3 linked regions of the Lonchura striata genome follow. The protein of the gene in region 1 purifies or fractionates together with the protein of each later gene. This does not show direct contact. Links are inferred from orthologs where the notes say so. Each region holds a gene or a part of one and is shown on either strand. Other genes may lie near its edges.

What was found.
Region 2: the proteins of SUPT16H (region 1) and TOP1 fractionate together in Homo sapiens (co-fractionation; 3 studies listed by BioGRID and IntAct, with this or other methods). This does not show direct contact. The link is inferred for Lonchura striata from reciprocal best matches to the Homo sapiens genes SUPT16H and TOP1.
Region 3: the proteins of SUPT16H (region 1) and OTUD5 purify together in Homo sapiens (affinity purification with mass spectrometry; 3 studies listed by BioGRID, with this or other methods). This does not show direct contact. The link is inferred for Lonchura striata from reciprocal best matches to the Homo sapiens genes SUPT16H and OTUD5.

What each region holds. Positions count from the first base shown.
Region 1 is NC_134641.1:1,210,440-1,217,528, forward strand, and holds the start of SUPT16H (FACT complex subunit SPT16), read right to left. Parts: upstream 3,096-7,089; 5' UTR 3,046-3,095; coding exon 2,980-3,045; intron 1,413-2,979; coding exon 1,320-1,412; intron 1-1,319. Other genes in the region: chromodomain-helicase-DNA-binding protein 8, read right to left, coding at 6,929-7,089. UniProt on the Homo sapiens protein: Component of the FACT complex, a general chromatin factor that acts to reorganize nucleosomes. The FACT complex is involved in multiple processes that require DNA as a template such as mRNA elongation, DNA replication and DNA repair.
Region 2 is NC_134619.1:9,817,504-9,825,497, forward strand, and holds the start of TOP1 (DNA topoisomerase 1), read right to left. Parts: upstream 3,019-7,994; 5' UTR 2,887-3,018; coding exon 2,854-2,886; intron 2,358-2,853; coding exon 2,333-2,357; intron 1-2,332. UniProt on the Homo sapiens protein: Releases the supercoiling and torsional tension of DNA introduced during the DNA replication and transcription by transiently cleaving and rejoining one strand of the DNA duplex.
Region 3 is NC_134638.1:1,035,980-1,043,271, forward strand, and holds the start of OTUD5 (OTU domain-containing protein 5), read left to right. Parts: upstream 1-4,252; 5' UTR 4,253-4,376; coding exon 4,377-4,400; intron 4,401-5,557; coding exon 5,558-5,651; intron 5,652-6,372; coding exon 6,373-6,437; intron 6,438-7,292. Other genes in the region: EBP (3-beta-hydroxysteroid-Delta(8),Delta(7)-isomerase), read left to right, coding at 29-159, 1,695-1,903. UniProt on the Homo sapiens protein: Deubiquitinating enzyme that functions as a negative regulator of the innate immune system. Has peptidase activity towards 'Lys-48'- and 'Lys-63'-linked polyubiquitin chains. Can also cleave 'Lys-11'-linked ubiquitin chains (in vitro).

The sequences.
Region 1 (7,089 bases):
ACCCCAAAAATCTCCAAAATACACCAAAAATCATGAGGGAGACCCCAATAAACGGCTGGGAAACACCAAAAACTGACCAAGGAAACCCAAAAAGAGACAAAGAAACCCCAAAAGAGACCAAAAAAACCCAAAAAGAAGAAAAGAAACCCCAAAATGGACCAGGAAAACCCCAAAAGGAACAAAAAAACCTCAAAATGGATCAAGGACACCCCAAAATGGACAAAAAAAACCAAAAAGGGACAAAGAAACCCAAAAATGGATCATGAAAACCCCAAAAAGGAACAAAAAACCCAAAATGGAACCAAGAAACCCCAAAAAGGAACAAAAAAACCCAAAAAGGAACAAAAAAAAACCAAAAAGGAACAAAAAACCCCAAAAAGGAACCAAGAAACCCCAAAATTAACAAAAATCCCCAAAATTTATGAGGAAAACCCCGAAAGGAACCAGACAAAAATGATGGGAAAGTCCCCAAAAGCAGGAGAGAAACCCCAAAAATGGGGGAATTTACCCCAAAATGGGGAAATTTGCCCCAAAATGGGGGATTTACCCCAAAAATAGGAAATCTAGCTAAAACTGAGAGAATTCAGCCAAAAATGGGGAAATTTATCCTAAAATGGGGGAATTTACCCCAAAAATGGGGGATTTACCCCAAAATGGGGGGGATTTATCCCAAAAATGGAGGATTTTACCCCAAAAATGGGGGATTTACTCCAAAAATGGGGGATTTATCCCAAAATTGGGGGATTTATCCCAAAATTGGGGGGATTTACCTCAAAAATGGGGGATTTACTTTAAAATTGGGAGATTTACCCAAAAAATGGGGGATTTATCCCAAAAAATGAGAAAATTCATCCAAAATTGAGAAAATTTTCCCAAAAATGAAGGGATGCCCCTAAAAATGATAAAATTCAGCCCAAACTGGGAGAATTTGCCCAAAAATGAGAAAATGTACCCAAAAATGAAACCAAAAGGGATTTTGGGGGTTTTCTCAGGAATTTCGGGGTTTTCCTCATGATTTTGGTTTTTTTCCCAGAATTTCGGGATTTTTCACACAGATTTTGGGGTTTTCCTCACGATTTTGTTTTTTTCCCCAAGATTTCAGGATTTTTAAATTTTTCACCAACATTTTTGGAGTTTTCCTCACGAACTTCAAGTTTTTCCTCATGATTTTGTTTTTTTCCCAGGATTTTGGGATTTTACACTGAGATTTTTGGGGTTTTTCTCAGGAATTTCGGGCTTTTCCTCAGGATTTGGGTTTTTTTCCCAGAATTCAGGATTTTCCCCCCAGATTTTAGTTTATTTTCTGTTTTTTTGCCCACCTGCAGCGCCGTGGACTTGGCGTAGACGATCTCCTCGTCCACGCCCACGGCCACCACGATGGCGTCGACGCCGCCGAACTCATCCTCGCCTTTCTGTGGGGCAGGAGACCCAAAATCAGCCAAATTCACCCCAAAATCACCCCTGCAGCAGCCCCAAATTCACCCCAAAATATCCCTGCAACAACCCCGAATTTACCCCAAATTTACCCCAAAATTTCCCCAACACTGACACCGCCAAACTCATCTTTGCCTTTCTGGGGGCAGGCGACCCAAAATCACCCAAATTCACCCCAAAAATTCCCAATTGGCACCCCCAAATTCACCCAAAAAATTCCCCTGAAGCAGCCCCAAATTCACCCCAAAAATTCCTCTGCAGAAACCCCAAATTTACCCCAAAATATCCTCCATCAGCAACCCCAAATTCACCCAATTTCACCCCAAAAAATCCCCTGCAGGAACCCTGAATCCACCCAAAAAAATCCCCTACAGGAGCTCCAAATTCACCCAATTTCACCCCAAAAAATCCCCTACACCAGCCCCAAATTCACCCCCAAAAATCCCCTGCAGCAGCCCCAAATTCCACAAAATTCACCCCAAATTCACTCCAAACCCTCAACATTCCCTCAGCCCCCCCAGATTTCCCTAAACCCCCCAAATTTACCTCAAATGCCCCAAATTCACCCCAAATCCCCCGAATTCACCTCAACCCCTCCAAATTCACCCCAAAACCCCCAAATTCACCTCAAACTGCCAAAAATTTAAACCAAATTCACCCCAAAACCCCCAAACCCCCTCAGGCCCCCCAAATTTACCCCAAACCTACAAAATCCCCCTCAAATTTACCTCAAACTCCCTAAATTTACCCCAAACCCCCCAAATTCACCCCAAACCCCCTAAATTCCCCTCAAACCCCCCAAATCCCACAAATTCATCCCAAATCCCCCTCAAGCCCCCCAAATTTACCCCAAACCACCCAAATCCCCCAAATTTACCCCAAACCCCCCAAATTTACCCCAAACCCCCCAAGTTTCCCTCAAACCCCCTCAAATCTCCCAAATTTCCCTCAAATCCCCCAAATTTCCCTCAACCCCCCCTCAAACCCCCCAAATTTACCCCAAACCCCCCAAATCCACCCCAAATCCCCCTCAAATCCCCCAAATTTCCCTCAAATCCCCCAAATTTCCCTCAAATCCCCCAAATTCCCCTCAAACCCCCTGAAATCCCCCAAATTCCCCTCAAATCCCCCTCAAAGCCCCCAAATTCACCTCAAATCCCCCAAATTTCCCTCAACCCCCCCAAATTTACCCCAAACCCCCCAAATCCCCCTGAAATCCCCCAAGTTTCCCTCAACCCCCCCTCAAACTCCCCAAATTTACCCCCAAACCCCCTCAAACGCCCCAAATTTACCCCAAACCCCCCAAATCCACCCCAAATCCCCCCCAAACCCCCCAAGTTCCCCCCAAACCCCCTCAAACCGCCCAAATCCCCCTGAAATCCCCCAAGTTCCCCTCAAACCCCCCAAATTTCTCTCAAAGCCCCTGAAATCCCCCAAGTTCCCCTCAAACCCCCCCAAATTCCCCTCAAACCGCCCAAATCCCCCTGAAATCCCCCAAGTTCCCCCCAACCCCCCCCCAGCCCCCTCCCCCCGCCCCTCCCCCACCTGCCAGCTGGCGTAGAGCCGCCGCAGCCGCCGCGCGAAGGCCTCGCGGTCCAGGCTCAGCGCCATCAGCGGCCCGGCCGCGGCCCCGCCGGAGCCGGGCGGGGAACCGCCGGGGCGGGGCGGGACCTTCCTCCGCTCGGCCGCCTCCTCCTCCTCCTCCTCCTCCTCCTCCTCCTCCGCCGCCGCCGCTGCCGCTGCCGCCCGTGCCGCGCCGCGGCGCCCGCCGGAAGCGCCGCCTGAGGCGACTTCCGCTTCCGGTGCGCGCGCGAAGGGCGGGAGGCGGAGGAGGAGACGGTGAGGGAGGGGAAAAGAGCGGCCGGGGAGGGGAAAGGGGGAGTTTGGATGAGAAAAAGGAGGAGGAAAATGGGGGGAAAGGGGAAAAAACACACAAAAAAACAAACAAAAAAACAAACAAATGCGGGTGAAATCGGTGAGGGGGGGGAAAAGGAACGGGGGGTCACGTGACGGCGGAGAGGCGGGAAAAGGGGAGCGCGGGGCGCCGGCGTCACGTGACCGCCCCCCCCTCGCGCCTGCGGAGGGGAAAAGGCGGGAAAAGGGGCGGGGCCAGAGGGGTCACGTGATGGGGAGGGAGAAATGGAGGAGGAGAAATGGAGGAGAGGGAGAGAAATGGAGAGGGAGAGAAATGGAGAGGGAGAGAAATGGGGAGGGAGAGAGAGATGGGGAGGGAGAGAGAGATGGGGAGGGAGAGAGAGATGGGGAGGGAGAGGAGCGGAAAGGAAATGGGGAGAGGGAGATGGAGACAGAAATGGAGAGGGAGAGGAAAGGGAGGGAGAAATGGAGAGGGAGAGAGGGAGATGGAGGAGGAGAGAGTGAGGGAGAGAAATGGAGAGGGAGATGGGGAGGGAGATGGAGGGGAAAGGAAATGAGGGAGATGGAGACAGAGAGAAATGGAGAGGGAGAGAGGGAGATGGAGGAGGAGAGAGTGAGGGAGAGAAATGGAGAGGGAGATGGGGAGGGAGATGGAGGGGAAAGGAAATGAGGGAGATGGAGACAGAGAGAGAAATGGAGAGGGAGAGGAAATGGAGAGGGAGGGAGGGGAGGGGAAAGGAAATGGAGAGAGGGAGATGGAGAGGGAGGAGGAGAGAGGGAGAGGGAGATGGAGAGAGGAAAATGGAGGGGGAGATGGAGGAGGAGGGAGATGGAGAGGGAGAGAAAGGAGGGAAATGGAGATGGGAAGAGGGAGATGGAGACAGGGAGAGATGGAAATGGGAGATGGAGGAGGAGGAGAGGGAGAGAAATGGAGAGGGAGATGGAGAAGGAAATAGGGAGAGGGAGGGAGATGGAGGGGGAGAGGACAGAGAGCACCAAAACGAGGCAAAAATACAGAAAAAACAGAAAAAAATACCCAAAGGAAAAAAAGAAAAAAAAAAACCCAAAAAAGAAACAAAAGAAAAACAAAAAACACCAAATAAAAAATAACCAAACAAAATGGAAGAAAAAAGCCCGAGAAAAGTTTTTAAGAAACCCCAAGGAAGTAAAAAAAATGAAAAAAAAAAAAAACTATGAAAATTTAAAAGGATGAGAAAAAATGTAAAAAGCCTTAAGAAATGTGGAAAGATGAGAAAAAACAAAAAGGCCTGAAAAAAATTAACAAAAAACACCCCCCAAAAAAAACCCCAGCAAACAAAAAAAACACCTTTAAAAAAACCCAAAATAACAAAAACAAAAAAAGGAAAAAAAGCAAAACCCCTCCAAAAAATTAAAAAAGAAAACAAAAAAAAAAAACCACCAAAAAATTCTTTAAAAACTCCGAAAAACACCAAAAAATACCCACAAAAAAAAATTTAAAAAACCCCCAAAAAACGTAAAAAACTGAAAAAACGCCAAAAAAAAAGAAAAAAAAACCCTCTAAAAAAATTTACAAAAAAACCCAAAAAAACCCCAGCAAACAAACAAAAAAAACCTTGAACCCCCTCTCCAAAAAAAAACCTCACAAAAAACTGGGACAAAAAAAACCAACAAAAAAAACTCTGAAAAATTTTATAAAAAACCCCAAAACCCCCAAAAAACCCAAAAAAATAAACCGGAAAAAAAAAACTAAAAACCAAAGCAAGAAAAAAACAAAGCAGGAAAATCCTGAGGGGGAGACGTGAGAGCGGGGATCGTTAATTACCAATTAATTCATTAATTAATTGGGGTGGCTATCGGGGGGCGGGACAAACGAAGGGAGGCCAGGGAGGAGATTAATTAATGAGGAGGTTAATGAGAAGGGTAATGAGGAGCTTAATTAATGAGGAGGTTAATGAGAAGGGTAATGAGGAGGTTAATAAGGAGGTTAATTAATGAGGAGGTTAATAAAGAGGTTAATTAATGAGGAGGGTAATGAGGAGGTTAAAGAATGAGGAGGTTAATTAGGGGGGTAATGAGGAGGGTAATTAATGAGGAGGTTAATTAATGAGGAGAGTAATAAGGAGGGAAATGAGGAAGTTAATGAAGTTAATTAATGATGAGGGTAATTAGGAGGTTAATGGGGAGATTAATGAGAAACGTAATGAGGTTAATGAGGAGGTTAATTAATGAGGGTAATGAGGAGGTTAATTAGGAGGTTAATTAATGAGGAGGGTAATGAGGAGGTTCATTAACGAGGAGGGTAATGAGTCGGTTCATTAATGAGGAGGGTAATGAGGAGGTTAATTAATGAGGAGGGTAATGAGATAGTTAATTAAGAGGTTAATTAACGAGGAGGGTAATGAGAAGGGTAATGAGGTGGTTAATGAGGAGGGTAATTAACAAGGAGGGTAATGAGGAGGTGAATTAACGAGGAGGTTAATTAACAAGGAGGGTAATGAGGAGGTGAATTAACGAGGAGGTTAATTAACAAGGAGGGTAGTGAGGAGGTGAATTAATGAAGAGGTTAATGAGGAGGGTAATTAATGAGGAGGGTAATTAACGAGGGTAATGAGGAGGGTAATTAATGAGGGTAATTAACAAGGAGGGTAATGAGGAGGTTAATGAGGTTAATTAATGACGAGGTTAATGAGGAGGGTAATTAATGAGGGTAATTAACAAGGAGGGTAATGAGGAGGTGAATTAACGAGGAGGTGAATTAATGAAGAGGTTAATGAGGAGGGTAATTAATGAGGAGGTTAATTAACGAGGAGGTTAATGAGGAGGGTAATTAACGAGGAGGGTAATTAACGAGGAGGGTAATGAGGAGGGTAATTAATGAGGAGGGTAATTAACAAGGAGGGTAATGAGGAGGTGAATTAACGAGGAGGTGAATTAATGAAGAGGTTAATGAGGAGGGTAATTAACGAGGAGGGTAATTAACGAGGAGGGTAATGAGGAGGTGAATTAATGAAGAGGTTAATGAGGAGGGTAATTAATGAGGAGGGTAATTAACGAGGAGGGTAATGAGGAGGGTAATTAATGAGGAGGGTAATTAACGAGGAGGGTAATGAGGAGGTTAATGAGGTTAATTAATGACGAGGTTAATGAGGAGGGTAATTAATGAGGAGGGTAATTAACAAGGAGGGTAATGAGGAGGTGAATTAACGAGGAGGGTAATTAACGAGGAGGTTAATGAGGAGGGTAATTAACGAGGAGGGTAATTAACGAGGAGGGTAATGAGGAGGGTAATTAATGAGGAGGGTAATTAGGAGGGTAATTAACGAGGAGAGTAATTAACAAGGAGGGTAATGAGGAGGGTAATTAACGAGGAGGTTAATTAACAAGGAGGGTAATGAGGAGGGTAATTAACGAGGAGGCTAATTAACAAGGAGGTTAATAAGGAGGCTCATTAATGACGAGGTTACCGCCGCCGTTACCTAACGAGCAGTCCAGCTAATTACCGTTTAATTAGGCACCAGAGCACGCCCCGCTGCGTTTCCAACCTTTTATTAAAAAACAACCCCCGAAGCCCCGCCCCCGGCCCCGCCCCACGACACAGACACTTTACATATTTATAAATATTCATCAGGGGGCGGGGCTACTCCGAGTCCGAGGCGGGCGCCAGCATGGGGTCGGCCAGCAGGGGGCAGCAAGCACTTCCGGTCTGCCCCGCCGCCTCTTCCGGCGCCGGCCGGAAGTGAGGGGGCGTGGCCAGCGCCGCCGGGGCCACGCCCCCCATGAGCGCCGCCATCTTGGAGA
Region 2 (7,994 bases), on another chromosome or scaffold:
CCAATTCTAAATATCTTGGGGGGGGGGGTGGGGGGAACCAGCACATTTGGGATTCCTACTACCCACTCCTAATCTTTGCCATTAAATAAGATGAAAATAAGAAAATAAGAGCAAGAGCCTCAGGTCTCTGCCTGAAGGAGAACCTCTGTTCTCACATCCGTGCGTGACGATTCCTGATGCACCAGTGCAAAGAGCTCCTGTGCAGAGGAAACAAGGCTCAGAGCAAGCAGAGGTGACAGATTTTCAGGGAGATCTGGGGTGGTCACAAGGTCAAAGAGTCCAGTGTCTATTCAGCATTATTCCCACAGCAAGACTAACAGGGTTACACGTACCTTCCAGTGCTGAAAAGGGTTTTGGGGCCTCTGATTAATGACAATGATGTTACATGACTGCCACAAATAATTACAATAGGAGGGAAAGGGTGCTGATGCCTACACTGGTATGGATTTGTTGGGTGCACTTGATTTACCAGGAATTCCGTTTTTTCATCAAGGTGTCTTACTTTGAATTTCTGTATTGAATTCCTTCAACACATGGTAGAAATAAAAACCACAGGAGTTTCAAGAGCTCTATGACTAAAACTCTTAGAAGAATAAAACAGCACATGGTCACAATAGAGGAGAAAAATCCCTCTGAAGGGTTCACTGGAAGATGGAGTCAAAAGGTGAAATATACATCGTTTCCTCTATGTACAACAGAACTAAATAACTAAAGCTTACCAAGGAGTATTTTTCCCTAAATCAAGATGATCTTTAGATGAAGCAAGTATTTTCCAGCACAAGAAGGCTACAAGCATTCCTATATATGCTTATATTTAAATTGCTTCAAGAGTTACACCCGTACATCTTGGGAAATCCACTGCACCCCTTTTTTCCTGATAAGAATTATTCATAGAGCCCAGCTATAAATTCAGAATGGAAATAGAGAGTTCAAAACATGCATATTTGACACTGTCTGCTCCCTGCTGCACACACACAATCACATTCCAATGAACTGACAGAAGAAAAGGTGCTCGCAAGCGTAGATCTGTAAATATTTACATGCAGTAGCCTACAAGGCAACCAGGCACGTGGACATCATCCAGAAAAGCATTCTAAAAATTAGTGTAACTATAAGTCAAGCAGATATTTTCAACCAACATTTTTGTCCTCTACCATCTCAGCAGTCAGGGGACAGCTCAGAGCTCCTCACATATCCCAAATAGTGACAGTAAAACACGCACACACACAAAGGTTGGTTGTATACCCTCAACTCCCCTTCACCCTACTTAAGCCCTTCAATTTGACAACTATCAAGTGAGGCAGGCTTGCAATCAGCTTGCTTCCTATAAAAATGAATAAATTATCAGAAAAAATTAGCAGTCATCAGGCTGATTAGAAAATACAATATTGTATGTATATATACATATATGAACATAAATATACATATAGACATATATTTATATATATTAATATATAAATATATACATATACAAAAAATTATATGTAAGCACATATATATATAAATATAAATATATATATATATTAGACTACAGGACGCTTGTAAATGTTTCTGAACAAAATGAAGTTAGCTTGCAAAGTCCCTGAAGTGATGCTGTCTACCTTTCTGGAATTGTCTACACTATGGTCTGTTAGGTTCTTTAAAGTAGGTCTTTATTTTAATTTTAAAAAACCCATCTAACAAGGTAAAGTCACATCACTTAAATAGCCAAGAAAAAAACATAAGACTGATCTTAAAATGGATGCAGCAGCTTCTTTTAAAGAGCAACATGTTGCAATCACCTTTCATTTTAGGGGAAGGAAGGGATTCCCTCAAAGGAACAGAGACGGGGAGCAGTGGGGGGAGGGAGCCTGCGATTAAAAAAAAAAAAAAAAAAAAAAAAAGGCGACTTGGGATTTTTAATTTTTGGTTTTTTTAAACTAAAAACTTTGCTTTCCCCTCGGTTACAAGGGGCTGGTGGCGGGGATGGCGGCCCGGTGCCTCTGCAGAGGCGGCTCGGCGGCAGCTCGGGGAGGAGGAGAAGGAGAGAAAAGCCACAGAGAGAGAGAGAGAGAAAAAGAAAATGGCGCAGAGACTAAGTCCCGACCGTCGACAAGGCGACTTTCCAGGGAGGAATCGGGGCCCAAAGGCGACCCCGGCAGAGCCGCTGCGCTCGGATCGGGGCCCTGCGGTGCCCCCACTCGGGGCGGCGGGGGTCGGGGGCGGCCGATCCCGGCGGGAAAGGGGCGCTTTTGGCAGCTCGATGGGAACAATGGGGCCGGTGAGCGCGGAGCCGGGACTTAGTCTCTGGGACGCCATGTCTGTGCGAGGGGCGCGCCGGGGCCGCACTCACCGTTCGCTCGGAAATCCGCCTCGATCTGCGGGGAGAGCACACAGGGACACACCGTCAGCACGCCCGGCTCCGCGGCGCTCCGGGGGACCCCCGCCCCCGCCCTCACCCTCATTTTTAGGGGAATTAAATACGAAAGGAGAAAAGCCCGGCGCGATGCGGAAGGTGATGGGGGAACCGGTGAAGCGCCTCCCCGGCCCCCGCGCAGCTCATGAGCGGACCCCTCCCGACCCCCCAAAGGGCAGCGAGCCGGGGAAGCGTGGCAGCCGCCCCCTCCCCTTCTCAGCCCAGCCCGGGGGTCACACGCGGGTCCCCGCTCCCGCCGCCCCCCATCCCACCGCGGGGGGACAGCTGGGCTGACAGGGCTCTGCCCAGACTTATGGGGGCGGCCGCAGGGCACGGTCCCCCCGCTGGGGTTACGGGGGGTGGCGAGGCGGCCAGCCCAGGGCCGGCACGGGGAGATGCGAGCACCGCGGCGGGGGTCCCCCGGGAGCGCGCCCCGCGGGCGGCCACGGGGCGCTCACCTGGGAATCGTTGTGCAGCTGGTCCCCGCTCATGCCGGAGGCGCGGGCGGCCGGGCGGAGCGGGAGGAGCGGCGGGCAGAGGAGCGCCGGGCGGAGCGGGACGCGGGGAGCGCAGCGCGGTTGTGTAACAGACTAAGTCCCGCTTTCGGCGCTCTGCGCATGCGCGGCGCCTTTTAAACCGGCGGGGAGCGGCCTGGCGGGCAGGGGGCGGGAAGCGGCCGCGCGCTGATTTGCATGCGAGCCACGCCCCCAGAGACGGCATGATTTGCATGCAGGCCACGCCCCGCCGGCGTGACCGCTCCGACCCGCTGCCCCTCCACCATGCGCTACGCCGGCTCGCTGCTTTACATATCCGGTCCCGCCCTTTCCTCTCCCTCCTCCAATGGCGCGGCAAAACCGGGCGCTCATTTACATGTTAAGCCCCGCCCCCTCCCCGCGGCCGCCCGGCCCGGTGCATTGTGTAAGAACTCGTGCCGCTCCGTGCGCACAGCGCGCATGCGCTACCTCTCCGCCCCGCCGGTTATTTGCATACAAGCCCCGCCCCCGCGCAGGCCCCGCCCCCAGGGCCGCATGGCGGGCGGGCCGCTCTGAGGGGCGGCGCTGCCGCTGCTGCCCGCGGTAACCCCTCCGTGACAGCCCCCGCGGCTGTGCGGCCCTCGGGGCTTCTCCCGGAGTCCCGCCGCGCCAGACCCCCGCAGGCACCAGCTCATGAGCAGTCAGAGCATGTCCTAGTGAGGGGAGGCGGGCGGGTGCGCGCACCTGTCCCGCAGACCCCTCGTTATCAGGCTGTGTTATCTGTGCGGCTGACCCTCGCTGCCGGTCTCTGCCCGCCACCGCGCCAGGCTGGAGTGCGGAGGCCGCAGGAACCACGGGGAGATGCTGGGGGGGAAGCACATCAGGCAGGTTTGGGCTCACTTGACTCCTTTTAGTCAAGGACAGCACTGGTGCATTGCATACAAGAGCATTAAAAAGGGATCAGCCCGCAAGGTTTTTCTTCTGGCATAGCAGAGTCTTAAATTTTTTCTCCTGAAAAAAAAAAAAAAAAAAAGGAAGGTAAAAGGGGGCCAAAGCTTTATTTTCTTTTAGGTAATGTGATAGTGAAGCACGTGCCTGCTTAGAAAAACACCCCTCCTTCCTCAGCCCAAACCTGAAGACATTTATTTCTGTTCCGCAGCAGCGCTTATAAACGGGTTTTCTTGTCGGTGTACTAAATGGCAGGTTTAGTATGCATGGCTGGTACGTGTCTCACAGGACTGCCTCCAGTCTTCTTGGAGCTTCCATCCTCTGCTGCAACACAGACTGTACCTTTCCTCAGCTTCTTTACACAACCAGAGCTTTGATTTGACACTAAAATAACCTGGCGCTGCCAGGCTATCTGAAGAGATACATCAAAATGTAAGCAGTGACAGCAGCCACCTATTTGCACTGCATATTTATATCCTGCAAAGGGAAAACTCTGTCACTTTCTTACCGTCTTCAGAAGAGGATCTAAGGACTTCCTTTTTTTACCGAGTGCAGGCAAATATTTCTGGAGCTGTTTATTATGCAAACTGCTTTAGTCACTGTTAGATTTTTAAATATAAACATAATGAAAGAGCTGTTTCAGACATCAGGAAGAGGTGTGTGCCCCTGGTTCACAAGAATGAGGTGAAAGCAGGCTTTGCCCTGGGTTTGAGCCCCTCCTTGCTGCCATCCAGGGCTGCAGGGCTGTGCCTTTTGAGACAGCCTGGGAGCGGGCTGGCACCTCCTGCTTCCAACATTAGAAATTCCTAAAAGCTCTTCCTTTGAAGCAGCAATTTCACTTTCAAACCTCACATCTTTGTCTCCCCAAGAAGCCCTTGCTCAGGTGGCTGTGCCTGCCACAAGAAAGGGACCCTCCACCATCCCCGGCACGCTGCAGCTGCAGCCAGCCCTGTGCAGGGGAAGGCAGCCCGGCCCCTTCCCGCAGCTGCCACCTTCGCAGGCGTTTGCAAGCACGTCTGGTCGCAAAGCAGAGCCCCCGAAACCGGCACACGAGAGGTTTAGCGCTGTGCTGCCGGCAGGAGCCTGCTGACAGCCGCGTGGGAGAGCTCGGAAGGAGCAGGGAGCTTCCCAGTTTGGTATCTCAGGTCCTGACTGCCGCGGTAGCAGTGCCAGAGCCATTAGTGACGAGCAAAACCTTGTGCTCGAACGTCAAACACCTCTCACTCCACGGAGGGAACCTGCAGCCGAGGCAGCAGCTTCGAGCTGTCTCCCAGGAGTCGCTTCCCATCTGCTGCACGGAGCCTCCTTCTCTGCAGCTATTCGAAACCCACCTGAACACAAACCTGTGCGACCTGCTGGAGGAGGCTGGGTGTTCCCAGAGGCGCCTCCCAAACGCAGCCACTCCGTGCGATCCTTTTTGTCCCCAGTCTTCCACAGGGTTATCCTGGAGCCTGCAGGGAGTCCCTGCTCTGCTGTCAGAAGCCAAGAGGCAGGGAAATACACAGCTTGTTCAAAGCACATTAAACCATAACACCTGTGTGGCCCCATCTGTTGCAACGAGCTATATGATAAAAAAAACCTTATGATCTCCAGGCCTATAACCTGCAGTACCACCGTCCAGGAGGCTGAACTTCCCTCACTCCCTTCCACGCTGGCATCCCTTGGGACACGGGAGGCTCTCCCACGAGAGGAAGGCTCGTATAGGACACACCACTCTACAACCCTGTGAAAGTGATCGTGGCCCCAAACCTGCCAGAGAAGCATTTGGACAACGCTCTTAAGCCCAGGGGAATTCTTGGAGTTGTCCTAAGTGGGAGATGGACTCAGTGATCCTTGTGCGTCCCTTCCAGCTCGGGAGATTCCGAGTCTAAGCAGCCCTTTCCACGGTGGAGGCTGGCAATGAAGGGGTTAACGTGTTTGGACCCGCTTCCCTGGCGAGGCTGTGCACACCCCATCAAGATAAATGGGGGAAGTTCACACCTCGGAGTGCTGTGATCTCTCTCCAGGGTTCCCTGGGACCAGTACATCACCATCGGGTTAATGTAGCCTAGGTGATTGCCTGCAAAAAGAAACAGCTGGAAACTATGTGTTTAAATTAAATAATAAATCACCCGGGATACAAATCCAGTAGAAAAGCCTTCAGTTCTTTTTCCTGGTGAACGGTGAGATTTGATTTATCTGGTGCACTGGGCCTCACACTGTGCTCAGGGTGCATATTTTGGGAGAGGGAGGTGGGTGCTGTTTTCCTGGCCAGCTTTGCAGTCCTGTATCAGGATGGGATCCTACACCGTGCTCCAGCCTGAGTCCACACTCTTCTGCACAGACCAACACAAGGCAAGAAACCTCGACAGCCAAACCCCTAAACCCTCCACAGCCCTCTTTCCAAGCCTTGCTCCTAGCCTCAGGTGAAGCCATCTTCATTGTGTTCCTTCAGTTGATTCTCCTTTATATTTAACTTGATTATATGCTACACTTCAAGTTTGAAAGTGAAACAAAACTGGTAATTAAATACGCTCATATCTTGGTATTTCTGATTACAATATCAGAAGTTCAGGCCTTAAGAGCACAACACTGCCAACTCATTCAATTTTATTAGCAGTTCCACAGATCCAAGTTCACTTGTTTAGTTTTCCTTTATATAATTTTGTAAAAATCTCTACTTTTGTCAGAGGCAGAGGCCAGTTTCTAGTGTTTATGTTTTAGGAGAAAAAAAAAAAAAGCAACAAAAGCCCTCCATCTGAATATGAAACAAACGCATGTTGTTTGTGAAGAGGTAACAAAGAACCAAAATGCATTTACAAAATTTACACATTTAAACCCCAAAATCTAATTTTTAAAGGCCTGTAGTGATGTCTTTAGTCTCAGCTCATTTGTAAGAGCTATGGTTTGGATATTTCTATCACTACTGTACATTTTTTTCACAGCCAGAGACCTGCCTGATGTGCAGGATTCCCAACTGGCGTCATCCTCTAAACCTGCTGTCTCTAAAACCAAGTGACACTGGTACAAAATAAGAACAGTCAGATACACGACTCCCCACTCATTTTTCATTAGCATGACCTGCTCAAAACACTCATACTTATTATGTACTGTCGGATGCATTGAAACTAAATTATCTCAGTGCTCTGAAAGAAATGCACTTTAATAAACTGCAGCAATTATTCACAGTTTTATATGTAAGGCAAGGGAGCAAATTAAGCAGAACCAGCAGATAGGATTGTAAGTGGGAGCTTTCAAAGGTCAGTCTTAATTACAGTTTCACCTGGGATGGGAGAAGCTTGCAGAAGTCCTGGGAAATTACCAGTCAGAAAGCAATAGCTGGTATCACTTGAACTTCATTATGTCCTCATTTGCCTTGGTTAAGGGAAACAGCAGTGGTAGAGAGGCTGGTGTAATGGAAAGGAGAACATTCGGATCACAATCCAAGGAGCACGTTCCTGGATTTTCAGCTAACATTCCCAAGCACATGCCGTGATGGTTTGTGGCTGCTGCACGGCCAGTGTGCAACACCAAATGCAGTCAGGCACATACATCCCTCTGTGCCTCATTGCCTTCTTGCTCCTAGCAAATAAAAGCGACTCTCCTGCTCGAGAAAACAATGAGAAGCCCATAAACAACACCTCGCTTCAGCGTGGCCTCCTCATTTTGCCGTGCAGAGCAGTCAGTGCCCGGTATTTGGAGATTGCCCCACCGCGGGGCTCCCGGCAGCAAAGCGTGGGTGCATTGGGAGCCCCGGAGCACGTGAGAAAAGCCACCCTTGCATAACTTGGCAGGCGTGGGAGGCAATAGGATGGCTCTTTTAAAGCGTTCACATGTTGCAAATATAGCTGAGATAAGGAGCCATTTCATATAATCTGTGCCCCTGGAATGAATTTCTCATGAATTTAGGCTAGCTGGTTTCACTTTTATCTCCTGTAGTTGATTTCAGTGGCTGTTTCTCACACTATGACATAATTCTGTGATGCAGATTCCTGACATTGCAAGGAAAAGTGTCCAAGCATTTCTATTCACATCAGAACTGCTATTAAAAATACCCAGAGTTAAATTTGGTACCCACAGTTAATAAATGGCTCTCCTTCACAGTACAATGAGATAATATTTCCCCTGTCTACAGTTTTCCATCCAAAGGAGAGAAGAATCCCCATTTTGGGAAAGAAACTGCTCACTTGGAGTGTTTC
Region 3 (7,292 bases), on another chromosome or scaffold:
GACCCGCCACCCCGGGGTGTCCCCGCAGGAGCGATGACTTCACGGTGGCCATGGAGACGGTGACAGCCTGGGCCTGGGGTCCCCTCAGCTTCCTCACCTTCCTGGCGCTGCTGCGGCAGCACCCGGCGCGCTTCGTGCTGCAGCTCATCGTGTCCCTGGGTACGGCGCGGCCACGTCCCTGTCCCCCCAGACTGTCCCTGTCCCCCCAGGCTGTCCCTGTCTCCTGTCCCTGTCCCCCTCAGGCTGTCCCTGTCCCCCCAGGCTGTCCCTGTCCCCCTCAGACTGTCCCCTGTCCCCCTCAGGCTGTCCCTGTCCCCCCAGGCTGTCCCTGTCCCCCTCAGACTGTCCCCTGTCCCCTGTCTCCTGTCCCTGTCCCCCTCAGGCTGTCCCTGTCCCACTCAGACTGTCCCTGTTCCCCCAGACTGTCCCCTGTCTCCTGTCCCTGTCCCCCCCAGGCTGTCCCTGTCCCGCCAGGCTGTCCCTGTCCCCTGTCTCCTGTCCCTGTCCCCCCAGGCTGTCCCTGTCCCGCCAGGCTGTCCCTGTCCCCTGTCTCCTGTCCCTGTCCCCCTCAGGCTGTCCCTGTTCCCCCAGGCTGTCCCCTGTCTCCTGTCCCTGTCCCCCCCAGGCTGTCCCTGTCCCCCCAGGCTGTCCCCTGTCTCCTGTCCCCCCGTGACTGTCCCTGTCCTCCTCAGACTGTCTCCTGTCCCTGTCCCCCCCAGGCTGTCCCTGTCCCCCTCAGACTGTCCCTGTCTGCTGTCTCCTTTCCCTGTCCCCCTCAGAGTGTCCCTGTCCCCTGTCTCCTGTCCCTGTCCCCCTCAGACTGTCCCTGTTCCCTGTTCCTGTCCCCCTCAGGCTGTCCCTGTCCCCTGTCTCCTGTCCCTGTCCTCCTCAGGCTGTCCCCCCTTGACGTTCCCTGTTCCTGTCCCCCTCAAGCTGTCCCCATCCCCTGGCTGTCCCCGTCCCCAGGCTGTCTCCATCTCCAGTCCCTGTCCCGTGTTCCCCCTGACTGTCCCCATGCCCTGACAGTCCCCATGCCCTGCCTGTCCCTGTCCCCGTGCCCTGCCTGTCCCTGTCCCCATGCCCTGCCTGTCCCTGTCCCTCTGTCCCTGTCCCCATCCCCATGCCCTGCCTGTCCCTGTCCCCATCCCCATGCCCTGCCTGTCCCTGTCCCTGTCCCCATGCCCTGCCTGTCCCTGTCCCTGTCCCCCTGCCCTGCCTGTCCCCATGCCCTGCCTGTCCCCATGCCCTGGCTGTCCCTGTCCCCATGCCCTGCCTGTCCCTGTCCCTGTCCCCATGCCCTGCCTGTCTCTGTCCCCATGCCCTGCCTGTCCCTGTCCCTGTCCCCATGTCCTGCCTGTCCCTGTCCCCATGCCCTGCCTGTCCCTGTCCCCCTGCCCTGCCTGTCCCCCTGCCCTGCCTGTCCCCATGCCCTGCCTGTCCCCATGCCCTGACTGTCCCTGTCCCCATGCCCTGCCTGTCCCTGTCCCTCTGTCCCTGTCCCCATCCCCATGCCCTGCCTGTCCCTGTCCCTGTCCCCATGTCCTGCCTGTCCCTGTCCCCATGTCCTGCCTGTCCCTGTCTCTGTCCCCATGTCCTGCCTGTCCCTGTCCCCATCCCCATGTCCTGCCTGTCCCTGTCCCTGTCCCCATGCCCTGCCTGTCCCTGTCCCCATGCCCTGCCTGTCCCCGCCGCAGGCCAGCTCTACGGGGACGTGCTGTACTTCGCCACGGAGGCGCGGGCGGGCTGGGCGCACAGTGACCCGCGGCCCCTCTACTTCTGGGGCTACTTCGTGGGGCTCAACGGGCTCTGGCTGCTGGTGCCCGGCCTGCTGCTCGTGGACGCCGGGCGGCAGCTGGCCCGGGCCCAGCGCGGCCACGACCGGCCCCGCCACAAGGCCCACTGAGACCCCCACCCAGGGGTGAGGGACCCCCACCCAGGGGTGAGGGACCCCGCCACAAGGCCACTGAGACCCCCACCCAGGGGTGAGGGACCCCCACCCAGGGGTGAGGGACCCCGCCACAAGGCCCACTGAGACCCCCACCCAGGGGTGAGGGACCCCCATGGGGTGAGGGACCCCACCATAAGGCCACTGAGACCCCCACCCAGGGGTGAGGGACCCCCACCCAGGGGTGAGGGACCCCCCATGGGGTGAGGGACCCCCCCACAACAGGCCCTGCCACAAGGCCACTGAGACCCCCACTCAGGGGTGAGGGACCCCCCCATGGGGTGAGGGACCTCCCCATGACCGGCCCCGCCACAAAGGCCCACTGAGACCCCCACCCAGGGGTGAGAGACCCCCACCCAGGGGTGAGGGACCCCCCATGACCCGCCCCGCCACAAGGCCACTGAGACCCCCACCCAGGGGTGAGAGACCCCCACCCAGGGGTGAGGGACCCCCATGGGGTGAGGGACCCCACCATAAGGCCACTGAGACCCCCACCCAGGGGTGAGGGAACCCCCCCAGACTGAGGGACCCCCCCTCAGCATCGGGGAACCCCCCCGTGGGAAGGTTCAGCACCGGGAGGGTCCTGGAGATGAATTTTGGGACCCCCCCAAAAAAGCTCAGGGAGAGCGGTCGGAGCCCCCCGTGTTCCCCACGGGGACCTCCCCCTCGTTTTTGGGGGTCTCAGCTTTGTTCTCGGGGTCCCCACCTAAATTTGGGGCATCCCCACCTCGTTTTTGGGGGTCTTCCGTGGGAATGTCCCTCGTTCCTGGGGGGCAGGGATGGGTTTGAATAAAGGAGCTGGAAATGGAGCTCGGGCTCTGCTTTTGGAGGTTTTTTGGGGGGTTCTGATGGGTTTTGGGGGGCTTTGGGGGGGTTCTGGCACATTTTTGGGGTACCTGGAGGGTTTTTGGGGTCTCTTGATGGATTTGGGGTAGTACTGAGGAGTTTTTGGGGAGTCCTGGGGGGGTTTTGGGTGGTCCTGGTGAGTTTTGGGGGTTTCTGGTGAGTTTTTGGGGTTCCTGGGGGTTTTTTGGGGGGTCCTGGGCGGTTTCTGGGGGGTCCTGGGGGGGTCTTGGGGGGTTTTGGGGGGTCCTGGTTAGTTTTGGGGGTTTCTGGTGAGTTTTTGGGGTTCCTGGGGGGGGTCCTGGGGGGTTGGACCACGTGGGAGGGCGGGGAAGGGGCGGGGCTTGTGGGTGATTGACAGATGAGTGGGGTCCTCAAAGGGGCGGGATCCCAGCTGGGCTCCGCCCCTGCCGCGCCTGAGCCAATAGGAAATTAGGTCGTTCGCTGTAGCCAATAAGGTGGCGACGTGGGCGGGGTTTAAGCCCGCGCCAATCAACGCTCGGCGTCTCCTCGCTGCTCCCGCCCAGCGATGATTGACGTGCCGCCACCCAATCAGCGCTCACGTTTACACCGATCCACCCCTCCCCTCTCCGCTCAACCGGCACCTCCACCAACCAATCACCTCCCTCCCCCCTCCCCTCCCTCCCCCAAAACCAACCAATCACCGCCCGTCCCTCCCCGCCTCGCCCAATCCGCGCTCTCCCCTTCCATCCCCATGGCAACGCCCATCCCGCCTCCCCTCACGGAGGCGGAGGAGAAGAAAGGCGGGACTTCCTCCCGGCTGCGGACCAATCGGAGCGCTCCTTCTCCCGCGGCAGCCAATGGCGCGGCGCGCCGCGGGCGAGGCGGAAGCGCGCGCGGGGTCGGAGGTGGCGGCTGTTGATGTTGACACGGCCCCGGCGGCCGCAGCGCCCGCGGCCCCTCAGCGCCGGGGCGGCCCCGGCCCCGCCGCCGCCGCCGCCGCCGCCGCGCCCCGGCCCCGCCGCGCCCCGCGCCGCGCCGCGCGCCCCCGGCCCGCCCCCCGCCCCCGCCCCATGCGCGCCCCGCCATGACGATCCTCCCCAAGAAGAAGCCGGTACCGGCTCCCGACGGCGACGGCGACTCCGGCCCGGACGCGGGGCCCGAGCGCGGAGCGGACGCGGGGCCCGAGCGAGGCCCCGGAGGCGTCGGCGAAGCCGGCGGCCCCGGCGGCGTGGGGGGGCCGCGGCCTCGCGCCTCGCCGCCGCCGCCGCTGCGGGGCTGGGCCGCGGCCGCCGGGTCCCCCCCGCCCGCGGGGCCCGGCGGCGCCGGTAGCGGCGGGCCCGGCTCGGCCGACGGCCCCGCGGCGCTGCTGGGGCTGGAGGCGGCGGCGCTGGGGCTGCCCGAGCCCCGCGGGCCCGGCGGCTGCGGCGGCGGCGGCGGCGGCCCCGGGCACAGCAAGCGGCGGCGGCGCGGCGGGGCCGGGCCCAGCGGCGGCGGCCCCGCGGGACCGGGCCCCGGCGGCATCGCGCTCGGCCTGGGGCTGGGCCCCGGCTGCGGCAGCCCCGGGCCCGACGAGGCGGGCGGCGGCTACAACAGCGAGGACGAGTACGAGGCCGGCAGGGTGGAGATGGACCCGGCCACGGCCGAGCAGGTGCGGGGAGAGCGGCGGGGACAGCGGGGACAGCGGGGGGACAGCGGGAGATACCGGGGGAACAGCGGGAGATACCGGGGGGACAGCGGGGAGGACTGGGGGGACAGCGGGGAGACACCGGGATTAGCGAGGGGACAGCGCGGGGACATCCGGGGACACCGGGGAGGGACCGGGCTACAGGGGAGGGGACCGGGGATACCGGGGGGACACGAGGGAGCACCGGGAGACACCGGGAGACACCGGGGAGCACCGGCGGGGACAGCGCGGGGGCATCTGGGGATACCGGGAGTAGCGAGGGGACACCGGGGGGACACCGGGACGCGGGGGAGGGCCGGGGGGGGACACCGGGAGATACCGGGGGGACAGCGAGGGACACTGGGGGGACACTGGGGAGGACTGGGGGACACTGGGTGACATCAGGGGATGTCGGGGGGACACCGGGAGGACACCGGGGGTCCTGCCGGGGTTCGGTGTCCCCGATGTTGCCGCCCCCCCCCATGCGGGGTTGTCGCCGTCCCCATTTTGCTGCCGTTTGTTCCCAAATTGTCCCCAAATTGTCCCCAAATTGTCCCCGCTTTGGGTGCCCCATCCCCCGCTTTGGGACCCTTCCCTGTCCCCCAAAGTTTTCCCCCCCACCCCCCCCATTCCCAGTGTCCCCTCTCGGTGACACCCCCGGGACCCCCCCATTGGACCCCCACCCCTCATCCCCTGTGGCTGCCTCAGTTTCCCCCTCTCATACCCCCCCCAAATAACCCGGGGGACCCCCCAAATCCTTAAAGGACCCCCCCCATCCCCAAGAACCCCCCTGAACCCCCCGTTTTTGGCCCCCACCCCTCATCCCCTGTGGCTCCCTCAGCTCCCCCCAACTCGTACCCCCCCCAATGACCCAGGGGACCCCCAGGGACCCCCCAAATGGCCCAAGGGACCTCTAAACCCCCCCAGGACCCCCCCCCATCCTTAAGAACCTCCCTGACCCCCCCACCTTTTTCCCCCCATTGTGACCCCACCCCTCATCCCCTGTGGCTCCCTCAGCTCCCCTCATCCTGTGCCCCCCCCAATGACCCGAAGGACCCCCAGGGACCCCCCAAATGCCCCGAGGGACCCCCGAATGTCCCGAGGGCCCCCCGGGACCCCCCCGAGCCCGGCTGTGTCTCCAGCAGGAGCACCGGTTCGAGAAGGCGCTGCGGGAGAAGAAAGGCTTCATCATCAAGCGCATGAAGGAGGATGGGGCCTGCCTGTTCCGGGCCGTGGGTGAGCCCCGAAACCATCCCGAATCCCCCAAAAATCCCCCCAAAAATCCCCCACAGACCCCCCCAAAAATCCCCCCAAAAATCCCTCCAAAAAATCCCCCCCAAAAATCCCCCCAAAAAATCCCCCACAGACCCCCCCAAAAATCCCCCCAAAAATCCCCCCAAAAATCCCCCCAAAAATCCCCCCAAAAATCCCCCACAGACACCCCCAAAAATCCCCCCAAAAATCCCCCCAAAAATCTCCCCAAAAATCCCCCACAGACCCCCCAAAAATCCCCCCCAAAAATCCCCCCAAAAATCCCCCCAAAAATCCCTCCAAAAAATCCCCCCCAAAAATCCCCCCAAAAATCCCCTCAAAAATCCCCCACAGACCCCCCCCAAAAATCCCCCCCAAAAATCCCCTCAAAAATCCCCTCAAAAATCCCCTCAAAAATCCCCCAAAAATCCCCCCCAAAAATCCCCCACAGACCCCCAACTGTCATCTGCATGTCCCCCCAATGTCACCTGCCCGTCCCCCCCCCAATGTCACCTGCCCGTCCCCCCCCAATGTCACCTGCATGTCCCCCCAATGCCCCCTGCCCATCCCCCCCAATGTCACCTGTGTCCCCCCAATGTCACCTCTGTGTCCCCCCAATGTCACCTGTCCGTCCCCCCCAATGTCACCTGTCCATCCCCCCCAATGTCACCTGTGTCCCCCCAATGTCACCTGTGTGTCCCCCCAGCCGATCAGGTGTACGGAGACCAGGACATGCACGAGGTGGTGAGGAAGCACTGCATGGACTACCTGGTGAGGAACTGGGGAACTGGGATGGACTGGGATGGACTGGGAGGGGACTGGGATCGACTGGGGAAAACTGGGATGGAACTGGGAGGGACTGGGGAGGGCAGTGGTGGGCACTGGATGGCACTGGGAGGGAATTGGGATGGACTGGGAGGAACTGGGATGGACTGGGAGGGTGCTCAGAGCCCTGGGGGGAGCAGGCTGCTGTTCCCTCCCCCAGTGTCCCCAGGGCTGTCCCAGTGTGTCCCTCCTCAGCCTGTCCCAAATGTCCGTGTCTCCACTGTCCCCAACGTCCCCGTGTCCCCAGCCTGTCCCTGTGTCCCCAATGTCCCCCTCGTGTCTGTGTCCCCACTGTCCCCAGCCTGTCCCCAGTGTCCCCAGTGTCCCCAGCCTGTCCCCAGTGTCCCCAGTGTCCCCAGTGTCCCCATGTCCCCACTGTCCCCAGCCTGTCCCCAGTGTCCCCAGTGTCCCCATGTCCCCACTGTCCCCAGCCTGTCCCCAGTGTCCCCATGTCCCCAGCTGTCCCCAATGTCCCCAATGTCTTCAGCCTGTCCCCACTGTCCCCAGCCTGTCCTGTGTCCCCAGCCTGTCCCTAATGTCTCCAGCCTGTCCCCGTGTCCACAATGTCCCCAACATCCCTGTGTTCCCAGTGTCCCCAGCTGTCCTGTGTCCCCAATGTCCCCCCCGTGTCCGTGTCCCCAGCCTGTCCCCACTGTCCCCATGTCCCCAATGTCCCCAATGTCCCCACCATCCCCAATGTCCCCACTGTCCCCATGTCCCCACCGTCCCCAGCCTGTCCCCGTGTCCCCACCATCCCCAATGTCCCCACCATCCCCACCGTCCCCACCGTCCCCACCGTCC